2 linked regions of the Medicago truncatula genome follow. The protein of the gene in region 1 binds, or shares a complex with, the protein of each later gene. Links are inferred from orthologs where the notes say so. Each region holds a gene or a part of one and is shown on either strand. Other genes may lie near its edges.

Evidence for each region. The genes of interacting proteins can lie anywhere in the genome.
Region 2: condensin complex subunit 1 (region 1) and structural maintenance of chromosomes protein 4 share a complex: the UniProt entries of both Arabidopsis thaliana proteins name them as parts of the condensin complex. The link is inferred for Medicago truncatula from reciprocal best matches to the Arabidopsis thaliana genes AT3G57060 and SMC3.

The regions. Positions count from the first base shown.
Region 1 is NC_053042.1:20,608,640-20,619,842, forward strand, and holds the start of condensin complex subunit 1, read right to left. Parts: upstream 4,831-11,203; 5' UTR 4,739-4,830; coding exon 4,259-4,738; intron 3,661-4,258; coding exon 3,497-3,660; intron 3,420-3,496; coding exon 2,249-3,419; intron 2,025-2,248; coding exon 1,833-2,024; intron 1,155-1,832; coding exon 507-1,154; intron 383-506; coding exon 206-382; intron 1-205. UniProt on the Arabidopsis thaliana protein: Essential protein. Regulatory subunit of the condensin complex, a complex required for conversion of interphase chromatin into mitotic-like condense chromosomes.
Region 2 is NC_053049.1:33,257,824-33,269,211, reverse strand, and holds the start of structural maintenance of chromosomes protein 4, read right to left. Parts: upstream 4,875-11,388; 5' UTR 4,658-4,874; coding exon 4,544-4,657; intron 4,452-4,543; coding exon 4,362-4,451; intron 4,258-4,361; coding exon 4,156-4,257; intron 3,170-4,155; coding exon 2,993-3,169; intron 2,898-2,992; coding exon 2,767-2,897; intron 1,504-2,766; coding exon 1,425-1,503; intron 1,357-1,424; coding exon 1,199-1,356; intron 1,087-1,198; coding exon 1,011-1,086; intron 885-1,010; coding exon 756-884; intron 680-755; coding exon 535-679; intron 1-534. UniProt on the Arabidopsis thaliana protein: Central component of the condensin complex, a complex required for conversion of interphase chromatin into mitotic-like condense chromosomes.

The DNA of each region.
Region 1 (11,203 bases):
TGATCTTTTAAAATTGTATGTGAGACAATAATTATCAATAGAAATTATATTCAATTTTCCCATTTCAAATGTAAGTGATGGTTTCCATATACAGTCATTCATTATACGCATGATGACCAAAAAAGATACCAAATCATGAACAGATCAGTACAAAATGCAAGATAGTTCATTTTTATGAAGGAGGATTGGATATCAAAGCAATCACCTTCTGCAGTAGTCCAAAATTTCTACAAAGCTTTGACAAAAAGGTTGCACAGATACCAACCAAATTCTTGTCCTTTGAACCGCCAGAAACAATTTCCTTTTCTGCTTTTTCAAACATTGCATCAAGTGCAGCATCCTCAGAGGCTGCAAATCCTAACTCGGCATTTATATCATTATCCTACAGCACATTAATAAGTCAAATTTATAAGAATTTGACAGTAAAAGATCAAAATATGTTGCTTATAACAGTTAGTTAAAGCTATCAAGTATGACAGAACAGCAGTATAAAACACTGATTGCACCTTCTGTGTGCCAGTTGACGCCGTGCCATTGCTGTCTGTATTCTGACTCTCAATGTCCTCTCTCTCTTTTGCAAGTTTCTGCTTCTGAATTTTACGGGCACATGATTCAATATAGACCAATTGATTCATGGCAGTATGACTTACGACAAATAAACATCTACTCAGCTTTGCGACTTGAACTGTGATTGGCATGCTGCTACTAGTGTCAGTGTCACTACCACCACAATCCTTATAAACAGAACTGAGGGATTTCTTTATCATGTCAGCTGCTATGATTTCTGGAGTAGGGTGAACGGCATAAATGGCAGTTATTGCTTTGTCAGCAGCTGCATACCAAATATTTGCTGGAAGCCAAAAGCCAGTAATTAAACTATCAAGAATGCCAAATATTCTAACACTATTATTTGCCAACAATTTTGCCTTGTCATCTTCAGAAAGCCTCTCGATAGCAAGGCAAGCTGTCCTTGCCAGTAAAGGATCAACTTTAGACCAACGACCAAACCCAATATCAATGATGTCTTGTAAATGAGAGCCAAGCACACCAGTTGATGTCTTTTCAACCATGCAAAGGACGGATAAAGCACCGCGGCTTTGTTCTGCGGTCGTTCCACCAACATTGAAGCAAAAGAAATCCCATAAAGCTGATATCTGCGATAGTGGAGACAATTTGAGAAAATCACACCAATGATGAGAACCAAACTCAATATGATGACAGCAAGAATTTATTTTGATATAGGAAATAAAAGACAGCACCCGTACTAATTCAAATAAGAGATTGTAGCCATTGCCAGCATAAACAATCTGAGTCCTACTTCCCAATGTACACGTTTTATGTTTATTTAAGAGCAGTATTTTTCACCAAATGATATGTAAGCATGAAAGTATCATCCAATCTCATTCCAAATCATATTTAAAATTTAAATTTTTAGACTGGGATATAAAACTAAAGAAAACATACAGCCTTGTTTACATCAAATATTTAAAGCTTATAAAATATTTTATTTAACTCAGAAAAGAACCACTGAACTGTTTTACAGTATGGATTGACATTTGGCATTTGACATAACTAGGATGTAGTGTTGCTAGTCAGTCATTTTTGTTAAAAAATATAGGCTCATTACTGTATTTCATTGTAAAATCCCCAGAAATGAAATATAGAAGTATAAACTTGAAAATTCGCGACCTCAGTGCATTTATCTTTTCAGGCCTAAAAACAGTCAGATTCCTAATTCTAGGGTATAAAATATAGTCCTAAAGAAAAATTTAGAGGCATTCAATTAACTATTTTATACAGCATATTATACAAGCCGATGCATGAAAACATACTGTGCTGGAAGATATATCTCCCTTAGAGACCAGTGTGCCAACTATAAACTCAAGAGCTGCTAGATCTCCTGTGTTGGAATCAGTTGCAAGACTCAAGAGATTCTTGGCAGTTTCCATTGGGTTTTTCCTTATGTATATTGCACGGAAAGCATTCTCCACTGCTTCAAAGATTGATTTATCCTGAGAAAATGCCTACAACCGAGAGCAAATGCCAGAAAGAAAGAATAAATTTCAGAAAAAATCTATAATTCATATACGCAGTACATAACATATTTAAGAAACAACAACATCCATCGACTTAACCAGACAGGGTCAGTTACATGGATCATACAGAACCATTCCAACTTGTCCATTGAAGCAACGACTACATAAACCTTGAATATCCTTGTTAGACAATAGAAAGAACTACGGCTTACCAGGGGCAACATCTTTCGGAGACATTCTTCTGAGCCATCAATTTGAAATTGCTTACACCTCATCAACAAGAGAATTGTATTTTCAACATCAGAAGCAGAAGATGATGCCATCAATTGGACAAGTGTAGCCATTGTGGCCTCTATACATTTAGAGAATCTCAAACCAGCCTCAAGCGATGCAACCAAGGCCCTAGTCTGCTCCAAGTTCCCAACATCAGGCACACTACTATCACTACCATTCTGCATAGGGATTGCATCTTCTTCCTGTGACATGAATGTATCAGTCACACTCTCTTGCCGCTCCTTCTCAACAGCTTCAAAATTCAAATCATCTACCTCACCATCCACGTTAGAGTTTTCATTGTCAGAACCTTCTGAAGGCTCAAGCTCTTTCAACTTCTTCCTATACTGATCCAAAGTTGCCTCAAATGAAGTTACTCGGAGCTGTGGACCAAATGGGTTATGCTGCAACATCATGATCAACAGATTCAAAGCAGATTTTCTGACTATTGCACTCTTGTCCTCCAATCTCCCAGCAGCAATTTCCGCAACCTCGTTCCACAAACCAATCGAAACTGAGTGTTCCTCGCATAACTCCCCCCACACCTGAAGCACACGACTCCTTGTGTAAGCAGAAACATCCCTACATCTCTCAAGTAAAATTTCCAACATAGCTTGTTTTGTGCGTAACCGAATGTTCTTCGTGCTCGCTTCACCATCAATATCCTTAAACGCTTTTGATACTAGCTTACCCAGCACAGCTACAAGAGCATTCCTAATCTTATAAGACTCTCCACCAAAGTGAGGAACAAGAATGCCAATGTTAGTTGATATCAATTTTGGAATACGGTCAGCTAACTCCACAAGAAAACGCCCCACATTTTCAGCACCAATAGTGTCTTTGACATAATCTTTTGGGTTAGTCCTTCCAATTTCCCTAACAATGGAAGTTGCAAGGCTTCCATCTGAATACTTCTTTTCGGCACCAGCAACTGCATCGGCCATGTGGACGACAGCAAAATCATACTTGTGAATCAGATGCATGATGGATACACTAGACTGTGTCGTGTAATGGTACTTTGTGGAGCAGGCCCCGATTATGCGACAGAGGGCATCTTTTGAGTTGGAATCTTTCAAAAGCGCGGCATTTTCAAACATGGTGAATGCGTTTCTACAACAAGTGGATGAAAAATCAGAAAGTCCTATGTAGTGTTAACAAACTTAAGAAAGAAGGATATCACTACTCACTTTGTGATGAAAGACAAGTAACCTTCGTCGGGGTCAGATGAACCAAAAAGTAATTCAAGGTTTATCTCCAATGAGCTTGCAATGAGATTTAGTATCCGAGCTCTCTGTGGCTCCCAATTCCACGAATGCGCAGGTTGTTTCTTCCTGCTACTTGCGGCTACCACCTGAAACCGCAATACACCATGCTTCAAACTAAATGGGGAATAAACTCGCAAATTCAACTTGAAAATTTAGTGACAAACACATTAGTTCTGAGAATACAAAATTCCTGTCGAAACAATGTGTTTGAAAAAGTGATTCTGAACTATAACTGATTCTGCTCAGAGAAAAATTTATTTTGAGTAAATTGATTATAGCTAAAAGCCAGTTGAAGGTAAGGTGATTAATGTTCAAGTACATTTACATAAAAGTGAATTGAACAATAAATTTGAGTGTTCAAATCAATTCTAGAGTTAAAAGCTTGAATTTCTAGCTTCAAGTAGAATCAATTGTGGAAGTCAAAATCAATTATAATTGAGAACAACCAAACATGTCAGAATCAATTTTTGCCCCAGTAGAAACAAAAATTAAACATAAACTAATTAATGTCAGACGCGGTTAAAGTTTAGATTATTTTACTCTAATAACAATTATAATTTATAATCTTAAAATTTATCCTAAAATCTTAAACCTATAATATTACAAATTAGAAAAGCTAATTTGAATGAAAAAGTAATTTAAAGGAAAAATCAATTTGAATTAAAAGTAACGAACCAAACATACCTTAGGAGCATTGTTGGAATCTTCAGCGAGAACAATATTAAGAAGAAAGTAAGTGTAAATTTTAAAAGCATTACGATGAGAAGCAACACGGTCAACAACAAGAACATGATCATCAACATCTTCATTAGAAACCCTTGAAAGCGAATCAACATTAGGAAGAAGAACAGCGAGATTAGAACGAAGACTTTCAACAAGGTTGAGTTTACATGAATGATGTAAAGAAGAGTAACCGCGAACCAAAGAGTAAACACGGTCGAATACGTCTTGGTCTTGGATGCAGAGGATTTCTCTGTCGGAGAGATCGAATGAGACGCCTTTGACGAATTCTTCGAGTTGGGAGGAAGAGAGGGAGGAGATGTTTGTAGGGTTTTGGACTGAGAGATTGTTGTTGTTGTTGTTGTTGTTGTTGTCGTTGTCTTCGGAGGATGAATCTTGTTCGAGGTGTTGGAGAGTGCGAGGGAAGACGAAGGTTGGAGCCATGGAAGAGAGAGAGGTTTTCTCTTCTGTTGCGTTGGATCTGGTCTGTGTGGAAGCGTACCGTTGGGTTAACTACGAAATTCAAATGAAAGTGGAAGTGGATAGAAGCGGGAACAAGAATTTGGTCTCAAATCTCAATTATCAATATTTTTAATTGAATGATATAATTGAAAAAAAAAAAATATTATTATTGCATTGGAAACTGAGGTGATGTTTATTTTAAAATAATTTTACAATTTTTTTTGCTAAAACAACACTTACTTTAAAACAGATGTGGTAAATCTTTTTTTAAACAAAGAGGTACGAACATCGTGAAGATGAATCCACAACATTCCAGCTAGGTAGATCCCCTACGGAAACATTCGTCGTCTACCACCTACTTCATATATATAAATTATATAATATATAAAGAAAATTACTCATTTCAGCTCTTTTGGACTGACTTTTTCTCTTTCCAAAAATGTCATCTTATCTTATCTTATCTTATTATATAATCCAAAAGTACAATAGACAAACCCTACTTTGCCAACCCTAATTACTTGAGTGGGAACCTAAATTGCCATACTTAATAAGCCAATTTGAAATTCAAAAATGTAACACAAACTAACTATTGGTATTCCAATAGCATTCCATGTTAGCTTCCTTCCCAATGAGTTGTTGTGCTTTTCCATTTTCCTTGCACTATGTTGTTTTAAATGCAGGCATTTTCCAATGCTTTACGGTTGATACCGAGTGTGGATGCATACAATGAGTTATGGATGCTTTCAATATATATCCTCCTCAGCTACTTATGAAGGCCAAAAATCAAAGTTAAATTTCATCCTATTTCTGCTTGCTCATTCCAACCATTCAGCTCATATGGCTCCAATCATAACCCCTGCCGCCGCCATTGTAGCTGGGAAAATCAACATTAAGCTGCGCGTTCGTGTGATACACCTCAGGACAATTCCTGAATTTAACAAGCCTAATGAGGATAATTCTATCCACGTGATGTTGCTGGACGATAAGGTTACAATTTTGTGTTATATTATTTGACCAGTTTTTTAGATAAATATGTTGATGAAATAGCATTTTGCATCTGACTATATATTTATATATTTTTGCAGCTTGGGAAGATTCAGGCCAGTGCTAAAAAGCATTTGGTTCCTACGTTTAAGTCAATGGTGGAAGAAGTTGCTACATATGAGGTTGAGAATGTTTTGGTTGCCAGAAACGATCCTAAGTATCAAACCACTCATCACAAATTCAAGCTCAATTTAATTGAGAGGACAAAGTTTACAAAATTTGATGCAAGCAATATCCCTATGAATCAGTTTGATATCCTGCCTTTTAATGACATACTAGAGTCCGATAGAGAGGAAAAGATAATATGTTTGTCTGTTTGTATAATATATTTAGTAGTTATTTAGGTTTTTTTATTGCGAGATTTATATAGGTTTTCCTGTCAAATTACAGATGTTATTGGCCACGTGGTAGAAAGGGATGTTCTGAAGGACAACAATGAGGTTAATGGCAGGATCAGTAAGCTTTTGGGCATTACGCTCCAAGATTATGAGTAAGTGTCTATCATACAATATGTTACCAAGTATAAATAGTGTTTTATAAATATTGTGCTTATATATTTCCAAAATTTCGGTTTTTTCCCGGTTTACCGGCTCTTAACCGGTTCTGGTACTTGACGATTTTTAGCTTTGATCAGACCGGATACAGGTCCGGTTCCCGGTCCAACCAGTTGAACTGGACGGTCCGGTCCGATTTAATAACCTTGGCTAAAATATACCTAATTAAGGTATGGAGAACATGTGTTTATAAAACTATTTCTTAAACGAAAAGGGGGTGAATATGACTGAAATTGTCAAGTATGTTTATGTTATTATTATCTTTCTTTCTCTATTTCTTGTTGCAACCAATATTAAAGGTAAGCCATTTTATCATTTTTAATTTTTCTTTTTTACTACGTACACGATATTTTATCGTATTTTTGTTATTATCTTATTCTCTTTCTTCATTACAACAACGTTTATTCGTGAGATTTTCTTAGTTAATTTTCCTAATTTTCTAATTTTTCTCACACTTAACTTTATATTTTTCTTACATTTAAATTTTTAAATATAAATATAGGGTTTGTTCTCTTTCAACATATATGATAAATAATACGTCTATACAATTAGTGGTTTATTTTTTGTGTCGTCATTAATATATCAATTCAATTTATGTTACACCCTGATTTTTGACAGCGACCGTGTAATTTTTTAATCAATTTCTGAAAACGATTTAAAACTTTAGGCATGATCATACTTTCATAAAGTTAGAGAATTTTTTTGTTTCAACTCCTATTCTAAAATGATGATAAGATTGAATACGATTTTTGGAAAGACACACTTGTAACGCCCCAATTTTATTTAATTATTATTGGTCGATTTAAAGTCTTTATATATATATATATATATATATATATATGATTTTATATTATTATGTGGTGTGTTATATTTTATTAAATAAGTTATGTTACTATTTAATAGAATAAGTGGGAATTTAGAATAATTGGAGTTTTGGGGTTATATTTTAATTATAGGAATTAAGTAGGAGTTAAGTGTTATAATTGGGGAAGTTGGAAACGATCAGTAAGAAACATTTTCACGTGGAAGCATTTTTTGGGAGAAAAACCAAGAGGGAGCCAAGCAGTGGCGTTGCCAGGACCCTAGTTCAGGGGATGCAAACTTTTTTTTTTTGTTAACATTGCCAGAGTGATAAATTCCACATAAAAATCCACACACAGAGGATATAAATGGTTAAATCATGCTTAAACATGAATAACCACAAAGAATGTGAAGCTTAACAATCCTGACATTGATGGTCAAATCAGACTCTAATATATGAGTGTAAACATTTTTTTTTGTCAAGTTTTAACGACAAAAATTTCGCTTCTAAAAGTGAATAAGCGAAGAATCTGAGGTTCGAACGTAGTACCTTGCATACTGCAATACCTCTATCAGCTGAGTTAAACTCATGTGACTGTGTAAACTTTTTAACATCAATTAATAATTATTATAATGTATATAAATTAAAACATATCTTCGTGAGCTTAGCTCAGTTGGTAGGAATATTGCATTTTATATGCAGGGGTCGGGGTTCGAACATCGGACACTCCAATTCTCCACAACTTAATTGTATGAGCTCTAGAGACTAAGCTACTTGACCTAAAAAAATAAAACATACATTTAAATTATGAAATTTTAGTATATGTTTATTAAATTAGCTAGAACATTTTTTTAAAAGGAAAACTATCTAATGTCGAATTTTAGTTATATATGTTTGTAACCTTATAATATAATCATTTTTACAATTTTATAATAATAATTTAATAAAATGCGAATAATGCACATCTCACTGACACAATCCATTCGGTCAAATAAAATGTAATGCAAGGCAGTCATTTACACAGTTCAATGAGAGAGTAAAGACAGAGGGTTCATAGTTAAATTTTCAGGGGGTTCATTCAACAAAAAGTTAGAAAATTAGGTGCAACTATAAAATTTGAGGGGATGCAGCTGCATCCCCTGAGCCCAACGTGGGTCCGCCACTGGAGCCAAGAGTATCCAAGAGAAGATCGGGTAGAGCTTTGGTCATCAATCTAAGGTAAGGGTGGGACTATCATTCAGTAATCTTAAGTTTATAATTTTGAAATTGGATGTAACAGGTAGTTGTTCTTGATTTGGGAATTTGGGAATTAGGGTTGAATTGTTGAAATTATTTGGAATTGAGTAAGAAAACCTTTGTGGTTATAGTCTTTTGGTGTTCTGATCATAGGTTGGTCATATAATATTGTTGTAATCAGTTTTGGGGATTGAATTGGGTTAATGAAAATTGGGATTTTCCCTTGAAAAGTCGGTGTCTAAACGTTTTGCAAATAAGAGACTATGTGAGGTTTGGGGAAAATGATCCTTGGGATGGTTGAGACTTGAAATTGCTGTAGATTAAGATAGAGCCAAGTGTCAGGAGCGTGTAGGCGAAAACGGCACCAAAATCCGATTAACGATTGAAATTTTACGCGCGAAATGGTGAAAATCGCACTTTTTGAGAAGCAGATTTCTGGACCTGATGCTGTTAAAACATGTCACGATTTGGCAAGCGTGGCACGATTTTGTTGGCCGAAAATTCAATGGTTCTGGGCACAAAAACGTGGCACGATTTTCTAAAATCGTGACACGATTTCTGTGAATCAGATCCCTCTTATTTCACTATTTTCACCCCTTTCCGTTTTGAACTGGGTCTTGGTGTAAACATGAAAGTTGTAGATAATTTTGTTAGCTTTCCAATGGCGTTGGTTTGACTTGAAAATGATTTTTAGTTTTTGAGATATGATGAAAATACTCAATGGAGGTCTTAGTGAAATCTTATGAAAATTCAGCATAACCATTTCTAAGTTAATCCAAAACTTATGGGATAATTCCAACCCTTAAAACTAGAAGTACTATGAGTTCAATTAAGGTGTTTAGGAGTATTTAACCCATGTTGTGAGTTGATCCTTGGGTTAGGAATTAAGGTTTATTAAAATGTTGTTGATGTTCAGTGAGTCTGATAAAAGATGGTTGAGGTTGTTAATCTTATAGTAAATTTGCAAATGCCTTATGTGGATTATGTATGATGTTTAAGTAGTGTTGACTATCATTTGGTATTGTCATATTTTGGGATGTCTGTGTGCTACTAGTGTTGCTGTTGGATCTTAATTAAGATGTGAATGTTGGTTTAAATTGTAAGCGTGCTGGGTTGTACGTTGCCGAATGAGTCATAAGTAAGTTATGCAAATTGTCGATGTTGTTATCATCGTTGGTGTTGTTGTTGAAGTCGTAGTTGTATCCGTTGTTGGTGATTGATCATGTTAGATGTTTTATAAGAGGTGGTGTACTCTTACGTGTCGTTTTTATAAGAGGTGGTGTACTCTTACTTGTCGTTTTATAAGAGGTGGTGTACTCTTACTTGTTGTTTTTATAAGAGGTGGTGTACTCTTACGTGTCGTCTTGATAAGAGGTGGTGTACTCTTACTTGTCGTTTTTATAAGAGGTGGTGTACTCTTACTTTATCGTTTTTCTAAGAGGTGGTGTACTCTTACTTTGTTGTTGTCTATAAGAGGTGGTGTACTCTTACGTTGTTTATGTTGATGAGTATGATGAGGTTATGATGTTACCTATGAGTTGTTAAATGTACTCGAGGAGGGTTATGTTAAGTTGTCTTCTATTCATGAGCATTAAGGGGATGTTAAGAAGAATTATTATTGAGTGCATATGGTGATGTCTATGTTGTTAATTGTAATTGATGAATTTTACACTTATTATTATTGTTTGAGAAATCTCACCCCTTCTGCTTGGAAATGTTGCCCTTCGTATGGGTAACTTGTAGGTATCTGAAGATTAGTAGGAGTGGTGGCTCAAAGTGTCTAGGGCTCTGATACGTACGGGATGAGATTTTCTTATTGTTTTTCATTCCTATGTATCAATTTTTGAATATTGCTGACGTAGCCCTATGGTTGTTGAATTTATGTTGATAAGGCTTTTATGCCAAGATTTAATTATGGAGATTTAAATTGTTGTTGTTGTTGTTTTGATGCAAATTTTCCGCTGCAAAATTAAAGATGATTTTGAAGGATGTTTATTAAATAGATTTTATATTCTATTTAAGAAATTTTGAAAATATAGTGTGACATGCCCGTTTGAGAATTACTCTGATGCATGTTTATTAATTAATTGATTTTGGGAAACGGGGTGTTACAACACTCACTACAACTTCAATTAAAAATAAACATCTACCCAAAATAAATGAAGAAGTGATAACTTCACTAAGATCCTTAGGATTATCTTTAACTCAAAAGACAACGTTGGCTGGGTACTAGAGAACCCCTGTTGAAACCAAATACAAAAGCATCTGGTCACCAATCCAAGTCGTTTCTCTTCTATGGTTCAACCTTTATCACGATTTCTATGTAATTTAATCTATTAAAGCCGAAGTTGCTCAAACTAGTCCATCACAATAGTAGAGGTCATAATATAAATACAACATATATACATAAATCATGGAGGAAGTACACAATGCATGTTATAAAGATAAAGGATGCATAGTGATGACATGTTATCTTACGTTATTTTTAGCATATTTTTCAACCATTTTCAGTTAGTTTTAATCAAGAATAGAGGAGTATTAGAACAATTACCTATGGTTTTCGGAACATTTGTAATGTTTTCTAATTGAATTATGTAATTCTAGTTTTCTCCAAAACATACCAATTCTAGGGTGTTTTAATTTAGTTCAAGAAGAAATCATGCAAATCGACAAAAGCAAAAAATTTGAAGACTTTTGACAATATTGGGAAGACCATGAATGAAGATTCAAGAGGCCTCAGAAGACATTTCAAAGGGAGAAATTATGTTCTCAAGTCCCAAGACATCTTATATTAAAGCAAACACCCAAAAA
Region 2 (11,388 bases), on another chromosome or scaffold:
AATGCTCTTTCACTCTCTCTCTCTCTATTAAAATATTTAAAAATTAGCATGAAATACCAAAAACGAGGTTCAGTTTTCCCATCAAGCAACCTACTATTTTTTAAGAAGAGACTAAACCAATATGCATTGGCTCATACCTTGGTAGTTTAATAACTGATTGACAATTGGTTCAATAGAAAGAAGAAAAAAATTCATATAGTTGATTGAGCCTTGCTGAGGGTCAAGCACCAGTTCACAATTATATTGAACCAATCAAACGTATTAAAATCATTATTATCTATCAATTTATATTTGGATAAGCTAAAATCCAGGAAAATCGGCTATGTATCAGAATTGAGAACCTAACCAAGCCAAGCATTATAAGTTTAACAATCAATATGGTAAACGACAAATGTTGCAAGGAAGCATCTTTAAGAACTGAAAAGTTTTAATGAGGTTATGACTAAAAGCATCATATGGAAAGGAATTCAGTAAATCAAATTTAATTAAAGGCAACTTCAAGCATATCAGTACTTAAAAAGGACAAGGGTCTACCTTTAGAACTCTCTGTGATTTCTTCGAGGACCTTCTCCTCATCGGTCAACAACTTTTGCAGTTTAGGGATATTATCCTCAAGTTTTGGTATCATATCATTTGAGTTTTCACCCTCTTTCACAAGAGCTTCGATTTTTGATGAATCCTGAAATACGAATGAATGGATAAGGCACATCTCTCATACATATATTCAAGTGCAATAAATCATGTATTCCCATTACCTTTTCCGCTTTATCCTCCAGCTTCTTGATCTTCTGATTCATGTGCTTATAATCTTCTCGAAACTTGACATCCTGCCTCTCAAACTCCTTGAATTCTTCCTTACACTTCCTCATATCATTATCTAGCTCCTGTTACATGAATAAGAGAAGAAAAAACTTGGTTACTACCTGATGAGCTTATCACCAAGCATATAATGCCATGCCATGTCGTCATGCACACTGATAAGTTCAAGTCAAGTCCCATGTCGTGCAAACCTCTTGTATTTGAATATACTTGTTGTGCTTAGTTTCAAGCTCTTTCAGAATCTGTTTATTTTCTTGGATCTTATCCCTGGAATAAGATATCACAGAGTTCTTCATGAGTCAAGAATAAGAAAGGCGAATAGTTAGGAAAGTGATACATATATATAGACAAAGAAACTAAAGGTGAAATTCAAAATTACCTTTCTGCCTTAAGATTTTCTTCCAGGCTAGCAACACCCACTTGTAACTCATCCATTTTTCCCCCTGTATCATCAACAGCTAGCGTTGTAGCCTTCTCTTGCCATTTCAACAGAGATAACTCTTTGAGCATGTATGCTTCTGCTTCATTCTTCACATCCTGTTTCAAAAAAACTGTTAGGGGTTGTTCAAATATCAAGTGATCCATATAACCACAATTTTACATGCCTCCAAGCTGTCTCTTTCTTTCTCAGATAGCTTGACCATTTGCACCACACCGGATCTTCTCTCATTTAGAGATTCTAACCTAAAACATCAACAATACTTCAGACATTAGAAATTATATACTATAACTGAAATCCAAGTGATTATTTAAGCAGTGTGTCACCAATAAAGTATGAAAAACGGGTCCTTATTATAGAGTATATATAGTTTATACTTTCTTTTGTAATTAGTAGCTTAGGCAGTTAAGTGATGATAGCTGTATAACAGCTGCCGCAGCTTGCTAGAGAGATGTGGATGGGTTGGGCCTAAATCAAGTCCAGAAAACCAACTTTTAAGATGAGGGATGTTCATCACTTATAACCACTTTTCATGCCATATCACTATCCAATGTAGAGGTAGGGGTAGACCTAGAAAAACTATACAAGAAACTGTTAGGAAGGATCTAGAGATAAATGAGTTGGAAAAAGACATGGTTTTTGATAGAACACTATGGTGTCGTTTGATTCATGTAGCCGACCCCACTTAGTGGGAAAAGGCTTGGTGGTTGTTGTTGATCACTATCCAATGTATGACTCTCAGCCGTTATAACAGAATATCTGAGTGACTGGGAATAGGGGCTGTTGTCTATTAAGTGGTTGTAACATAACGTGAGTGGAGAACAAGAAAGGAGTTTGTCAATCTAATATGACTGAATTGGTCTTATGTATAGGAGAGGAATAAAGTGATTCAGGTGCTAGGGAACTGGGAGGCTGCAGCCCCTTGAGTTGCTGCTTATCCAGTCTTTACTACTTTTTCTGTATATCCTTATCTTGTATAGTTATCTTCTTACATGTAATGGTATCTTTAACCACACAAAATTTAGTTTCCTATCAATCAGTTTTCTTAGTTTCCTAACTGATCATAAGATGTTTTAAATCAAAAAAGTGAACTGAACCACTGTTAGTTTGGGTAAACACGTCATAAGCAGTTTAGTAAACAGCTTATAACATGAGAGCTTATAGGTAGGTAATGAGAGCTTTATCAAATTATAGCTCATGTCAAAAGAGCTTATGACATATATTAACTTTCGTAAGCTTATATGAGAAGCTTATTAAAATGACCCAAGAACTTATGGGTAGGCCTTAAGCTATGTTTATAAGTCTATCCTAATACTTGCTTGGGTATTTATGTCACACATAACCCCAAATAAACTCCAAAAAAACCTCTTATGTGTGCCCCATATATTTAATTGTAATTAGCAAATCAAACCAAATTAGGCAGCAACAACAACAAACAGTATCTATGCTTTTTTAATGTTCATTCAGAAGTTTGCATTCCAGAATTGAAATGGAGAAAGAGTGCTCACTGTTTATATGACTCATCAATTTTTTCTACATATTTGTTGGTCCCAATGATATCTTCCAAATATTCTAGAAAGCCTTCATCATGAGGTCCTTGAGATTTTGGTTTCATAAGTGAAATCTGCTCAACTTCGCCCTGATAAGAAACAGTTCAAGCATCAAAAGAGATATATAGGACCAACCACCTGCAAAAAAATATAAATTAAAAGCATCTTATATGAAATAACCAACCTGAAGGATCAGAAACCTATTATTGTCAAGGTCAACACCTTTTCCCTTCAATTTCTTGGTAACTTCAGTGAAGTTACTTGAACGGTTATTAATGTAATACTTAGAGGAGTTGTCCCGAAAAGCAACCCTTGTAATCACAAAGTCAGTTCCAGGAACAGTCTCGTATGTTCCATCTTCCTGCAGCCATACAAAATTCAATTCTAATTTTTAAATATGAAAGATCAAAGATGAAAAACACTAAAGGGTCATCAAACTGTAAATCTGAAAACTCTTCTTACCACTGGCAGTGTGGTATAAAGGTCTACTTAAAAACAAGCTCGTGACAGAACAAACCAAAGGAAAATAAGCAAACAAAAAATAATTAAAAAGCCAAGAGTAAGGGGCCGGTGTGTAAACTAAGGGCGCTTATCATTTTCCCCCTTGATTTTCCATTGATAAGTTTTACTACTAAATGTCTGCTGGAAATTCCACCTTAATTGCGACACACCTCTAGCCACCGTAATTTCGGAACAGGGCTGCTTTCATTGCAGCCTCCATGACCTTCATTGTACTGGCTTACATAGCGTTAGGGGGTGGGTTTAAACTCACATCACCTAGAGATATGGCTTAAGTAGTGCTTATAAAGTTTGGACAGTCCTCATTCCTCATGGGGTTGAGTTATACCCAAAAGCCCAAATTCTTTTCAGCTTTGTTCCTTCTTTAGTTTTACATTCTGGTTATACTTCCTTTCTTATTTAACCTTTTGTAAATTCTAAAAATCATGAAATAAAGTGAAGAGAAGCGATGCCATTTTTAGAATTAATAGTCAAAATATATTTATATTTTTGTTTGCTATTGGCCTAGTGGCTAACACATACTCAAATAAACATACACAGGAGAGGGGAAATGTGGAGACCCTGGATCGAACCCAGGCACACACATAAAATATCCTCACAGCCAAACCACTATATCATAACAACGCAGACTATAGTGATAATATATCAAATGAAATTGAAAACAAAAAAAAATATCTACAATCTTTTCGTTCTTCACAAAAAAAAAAAAAATATTGGAAGTCAAATTTAAAGAATTTATTGCTTGCCCAATTTATATCTCATCTTCAACAAAGATAACAATAAAAATCTAAATAGCACCAACAAAGCAGAGTAAATAAGAAAAGGTACCAAATCAACAATCTCCTGAAAATGAACAGAAACCCCAGCACTATCCAAATTCTGATGATTGCTAGAATTATGTATAAGCTCCGAAACTTTATTCAATCTCATCTGCAACCACAAGTTCCCAATTAAACAAAAAATTCACAAAACAAAAAAAAAAAAAAAAACTTTCCAAGCACGAATTACTTTCTAGAATATTCTCAAAAACGCACCTGCTTGGCTCGTTTTCCAAACACAAACAACATAGCATCAATAACATTACTCTTCCCACTTCCATTCGGTCCAACCACAGCCGAAAAACTCTGAAACCAAAATTTCACCAAATTTTAACTTCAAGTAAAATTGAACCAATTAAACCAATTGAATTCAAAAAATGGAAGAATCTAAATCAAACCTTATGAAAGGGACCAACGCGTTGTTCGCCGGCGTAAGATTTAAAGTTCCGCATCACCATTTCTTGGATGAAGAGCCTAGGTCGTCCGCGAGCTGATTCAGGTTGCGATTCCATTGAATTGGAACGAATTAGGGTTTGTTTGGGAATTTAGGGCACAGATCGAGAAGAAAGTGAAGAAGAAGAGTATCTTTTTGACTTTCGATTTTCTCCACGGTTATGTTAAGTTGCAATAATTCGAAGTGGAAGTTGAAGTGGAAAAGCACGTTGGCGGTAAGTGAAATTTTGGGGAGGGTTTCAAATTTTGAAATGAGGGAATTGGGGAAATTGTACTCAACCTAAACAAATACATTGTTTGGTTGAAGAGAAAGAAGAAGGTCAGAAATATATGATAGAGGATTACTTTTTTCTGTTTGGCTAATCAGTAGAAAGAAAAGAAAGTATTGGTGGGCTCCACCCAAAAATCAATCCCCTCTCCTACGCTCGAAAAGGTGACATAAGAGTTAAACGTTCTATTTGCTAAAAATAACGGATAGCTGATGGTTAATAATGAATAGTTTATAGTTAATGATTGATAACTGATAGCTGATAAATGTAAAATGGCATAAACGGACATTCTTAATTCATACTAAAATTGATATCAATTAATATTTAAGTATTTAAAGCATAGTAATTTAAATTTATTAATTTAATATATCATTATACTTCAGTTTTTTAATAGATGACCAAAGAAACAATTCAATTCAATTGTTCTTAGAAAATCTATCAATTAAGTTACTTCAAATTTTGTTTACCAAATTATTTATATCTGAAAAATCATAAATATTTCTTTTTCTTTGACGCAATTGTTCTTGGATAAATAATATAAGTATTTTTTGAATGAGAATAAATATAAGTATTTATGTCATTTACCACTAAATATATAAAATTTTCTTTCCTTTCACTTTCATTCCTACCAAACAATCTTGAATTCATCTTACTTTGTATTCACTTTCATTCCTTCAACATTCTTTCCTTCTACGTTATTTCTTTCCACTTTATATTGCCATCCAAACAAAGCCTACGGTTTTTGAAGGCTTCAAACATGAAGACGTATTTGTATCGGGTATGGATATTTCATGGATACTCGCAATTACGTACACATAAAGTAACATAATTATTTTTATTTTTTAAAAAATATTTTATCTGATACTTATATGTTACTCCACATATATCGTTACATGCAATTTTCAACTTATATTTCGAGCAAGTCAATTGCATTCTGATTGAAAAAGGTCACTTAGTGTTCGAATCAAGCAGAGGCAATTCAAGACCAAGACACTTCGAAGACCAGAGTAAATCATCAGGACTACTTGAAGAATTCAAGAAGAATAATGTCCAAGAAGCCTCAGCAGCTATTCAAATCGCCAAAGATTTAAATTTAGGAGACACTTGCCATTAATGCAATGTGGTACTTAATTTATTTTCTATATAAATTGAAAACTCAAACTTCAGTCGGAGTTCATTTCCTTTAGATAAAACTGAAAAAAAAATCTGCCCTCGTAGGATAATACTCCTACCGACAATGTTGAAAGAATGATGTATGAAACTCACTTAGATTAATCACAATTTTGTGCAAAACCTTCGTTTTATCCATCACAATTTTGCTTCAATGTCACGGTCTTCATTTGATGCAATCCATCATTCTCAATCGTTCTTGTGATAAACCTTCTTGGTAGGGTTTATACACCACAATTTATCTTCAATTTCTTGATCTTCGTTCGATAAAATCCATCATTCCCAATCATTTTTGTTTCTTCAATTGCATCATTATAATCATCACTTCGAATCTATGCTATAATTTCAATTGATTTGAGGGAACTCTATCACTATTTGTGTTCATTGATTTGTTGTTATTCAAATTGCTGCTCACATGAATACCATATTTCAAAATTTATGGATTTAGTGCTTTCATGTTTATTGAGTGATTTGATCATTTTTGCTCTTCGGTTTTTCACAATTGTTTGTATTATTTAGTGCTTTCATGATGATTACGAGTTATGTATTCTTTGGGGTAGAAATAGATTTGTTTTCCTCATAAATTAAGTGACTCTCTCATGTTAGAATATTAATCCATAATCATAGGGTAGTTAGTTACATAACCATTTCTGGACTTTGCTGAGTAGTTACTGATAACTTGCATAACAAGTCAAGTGTATATAACTAATTGCAATGCTCTTTTTCATCAATCAATGAATAACTAGATTACAACGAACTCTTTCTTTTTTCTAACTCATTCATACTCTTTCATTTGTTTATTCATTAATCCTCTTACTTCCAATACAAGAAACCTATTGTTGCTATAATATTTGGCATCTTGAGCCTTGGGTTTTGGTTATGGGAAACAGATGATCTCTGAGAAATACGAGTGAAGTGTGTGAAATTTTGGAATTTCTTGCAAAGCAATCATGGGTACTAATGGAGGCTTTGCCCCATCAAATTTGTTAACTTTGGATAGAAATAACTAGGAAAAATGGAGTGCATTGATTAAGTTGTATAATGGTGCTCAAGATGTTCTTAAATTGGTACATAATGGCTATGAGGATCTGGATCATGCGAATCCTATAGAGGTGCAAAGAACTGCTTTTAAGGAATTGAAAAAGAAAGACTGCAAGACACTATTCTACAACTAGAAAAATGTTGATACAAACCACTTTGAAAAGATTTCAAATATCACAAGATCAAAGGAAGCCTGGGTTAAATTGGAGAAATATTATGAAGAAAATGATCATGTAAAGCAAGTGAAGCTTCAACCCCTGATGAGGAAGTATGAATTGATGATGATGGACGAATATCAAAGAATCATTTATCACTTATCAAAATTGCTTTATGTAGTGAACCAGATGAAAGCATGTGGAGAAACTATTATGATCAACAAGTTGTTGCAAAGGTAATAAGAACTTTGACCTCAAAGTTTGATTTCATAATTGTAACCATTTAAAAGTCCAAGGATGTTAAAACTATGAAGAAAGAAAAACTTCAATCCTCTCTAGAAGTACATGAGATGCTGGTGATTGAAATAAGTTAAAAAATGTCAGTACAACAAGCATTGTAACCACAATTTACCAAGAAAGATTAATATGATAAGTATTTAAAGAATAAAGGTAAAGGAATGTTCAAAAAAGGAAGTTGGTCAAAGACTTTGTTATAAAGCTGAATCATCTAAAGGAGGAGAATGTTCTAGAAACAATTAGAATAAGAAGAAATAATTTGACAGGAGAAATGTATAGTGATATAATTGTGAGAAGTATGTTCAATATGCTGATGAGTGTTGGCATAAGAAAGATTGAAAGAAAAATTATAAAGGTGAAGAAGGCTAATTTTGCTCACGATAATTTTGATTATGAGGTAGTTCTATTGATGGCTACTACATGCGAAGTTGATCCTTTACGTGAGGAATGGTACCATGATACTAGGTGTTCAAATCACATGACTAGACATAAGGAATGACTCGTCAACTTTGATTCTATCAAGAAGACAAATGTCAAATTTGCAAATTATAGCAGAAGGCATTGGAGATATTGCTATCAGAATGAAAGATGACAATAAAGCACCAGTAAAGAAGGTTATGTATGTGCTAGGAATGAAGGGCAATGATGGTCGGATTAGGCAAGTGTATCAAATCGTTTATTAAGTAATAAAGTGATAAGTAGAGTATCGTATCCAGTCCACAAGGATTGTCGTTTCATCCAAACAATTTGCGTTACTTATTTTAGTTTGACGATATAAAATAAAAGAGTTAAGGGTTAGAGATTGCAATTTTTATCTGTGAGAAAGTTGCCTGTTTGGTTGCAGAAAAGTAAGCAGCAGTTATGACTCTTTGAATCATTAAATTTTTTTAAGAGTTTAAGGACAATTAAACAAACTTTGTTTTAGTAAGGACTGGAATTACATGTAAATATTTTTTGTAGGGATTAAAAAAACTATTAAAATTAAGTAAATACTAAACTTAAAAGTTTCCAATTTTATAGGAACCAAAAATATATTTAACCTTAAAAGAAAATTAGAAATTGTTGTATATAGATGAAACAACTATTTTTTTTTAGAACAAGCTAGTGTAATTACATGTTCTTTTTAGTATAAGATGGACAAACTTTGAAGGAAATAATTTTTTTTTTTTATGTTTTAAGGAAACAATATTTGGAATGATGAAAGTGAGTGTAAATTAGTGAGATAGGTGTAAATAATTTGATAAAATTTATAAAAATGAGTGTAAATAATCAAGTGGATGTAGGTTGCTAACTTACACTTTAATGATTCTAGGTGGGTGGAATTTGCTAATTTACACCTTAGTATTTTTAGGTGGATGTATATTAATTAACAGCTATATATATATAAGAAATCAAATTACACTAATGTAATGTTACACCTTTCAATATCGTTTTACTCTACATATATTTTTTAAATTTGAACATTTGATTGTAAACTTATATGATATAGATCATATATAATTTTTTACGTATGATGGAAGAAAGAGGGGGAAATGATGATAAGAAAGATTGAAGAAGGATGAGGGTTTTGGGTTGGTAAATTGTACAAAAAGAGGGTTAAGAAGAAAGATGATGAGGTTGTTGTTGTTGCGAATATGAAACTTTGTAAGGTTTTTTATTAAGTTTTTCTTTTGTTTTCTGTTTTTTTTTTCCATTAAACTCACAATTATGTGGCCTTTTTTATTATTTAATTATCGAAGTGTGTAATATGTTAGTCACATGTTTAATTTAAATGGTTGAATGACGGATTTGACTAACTTATTCCAACGCAAATAACGTTTTGGATCATTTTAAAACTTTTAAAACATAATGAAATAAAATTTAAACTTAAAATAAACATAATGGATCAATCATCTTTTACGCCGTTTGTAACAAAAGGACAAAGAAAATGCAGGTATAATTAGCGAGAGCAGTCGAAACACACAATATTCTTCTATGAGTCCTCTTCCAGCAAGTTCTCAATGAAAGTTCCTTTACTAGAACATTCAGAGGATAGGCATCTCTGAGTCTCAAAGTTACCTTACATAAAATCTGGTTTAGTTAGAGAAGGTATTCCCTCTGTTGCTAATTATAAGAAAATTGACTTTTTAATTAATGATGTATGTAGTATTTATTATGTACCACATGTGTTATTAATCGAATAAACTTAAAAAGTCAAATTTACTTATAATTAAAAAAAAAAAAAGAGTAATACCTATGCCGACAAACTAGTTGCCCTAGGTCATACATCATTAATTTTTACGTGGTGGAACTTCTTTTTGCTTTTTCCTTTTGGGGTAACGGTATAGTCCCCCTATTTGTATATATCTTTCCATTTTTTTTAATAATACTTATTAGCCCTAGATATGTGATATGACTCGAGATAATTTAAAATAGATGACGTATTGTATATCCTGCGTATCTTGCATCAATATTTGCTCGATACTTTCCGATACGTATCAGGAGAGTATCCGAATATTAATTTTTTTAAAAAAATAATTATCTGATACTTTTCAGATACATCTGAGATACGAGAGGTAGGCAGTGGAAAACCAAAATGTGCGGGCTACCTGATGATTCTACTGTATTTGGTATATATTTAATTGACTAAGTAACGATGTATTCTTTTTAGGATATATCATATATGTAATTGACTAATTGTCGCTTTCTTTATTATCAATATTACTTACATTTATATTTCTATTGTTGTCGCCGTCTGTTTTGTGTCTCTTTGTTTGTTTGAGAACGATGCAATTGTTAATTGTTGTGTGAAGGCAATTTCATTGTTGTGCCGTATCGTTTTTCTATGTCTGTTTGGTCTAGGTTTTGCGCCAATTTTTTTGCTTTTGAGTTTTAGTTCATATTTTGTATTTTGAGTTTTAATATGTAGTTTAAATTTAATTTTTTATTAAAGTATCTCAGTCGTATCGTATCTTGAATTTTAAAGTTTTCCCATATCAGCGTATCGGTACCGTATCGTATCATGTATCTAGGCTTCATAGGATAGGAGCTTAGGTGTCAATCTAGTTGGGATGTTTTCTATCCTTGATGTCACTAAATTCTTGATTTAGAAAGAAAAAAAAAATACAATTAAGACTTTTTCTAAATAAAAATATTTTCAATCATACATCATAATGGTCAAAAATCAATTTTCTTCAATATTACATGGTCAAAAATCAATTTTCTTCAATATTACATATTTGGATTTGAGATGTTTGACCTTTAAAAATATTTTTGTAAACAATTACAATATTTTATGCATAATATTAATTGATGTGGCGATTTTAAATATTTTTTAGGTTGTGTAGGTAAAATTATTTTGAACCGTCAACCAACCTCTATTAAACTCTTAAACAATATCATGAAGATTTAATATTTTGCTTCCACAAAAGAATGTAATATTTTGCTGTTATAAAAAAAATGCAATATTTGCAAAGAAAAGTATTACGGTTGTCATGTATCAATCACAAATTCCTCAAAAAAAAATGTTTCAACCACAAATTACTAGTTTGATAAACAAACTATGGTTGATTAATAATATATGTGTGTGTATTAAAAGGTAAAAAAAAATAAAAAAATAAAACTTAACCGACCTACATATTTTGTCAACCATATAATTTTCAAATGAAAATTCACTTACTTTCCTATGTGCTTGATTTATTTTTATTTCTTGACCCAATTATTATGTGCTTGATGTGATCGCTATAAAAGACTGAGATCCCAAAAGAAATAAATATTACATGATAGAAGAATGAAAACAAAGAAGAAGTATGAATATCCATCACATAGATACATAATCACAACTTATAATATTGCAAAAGAAAAACACAACTTATAAGA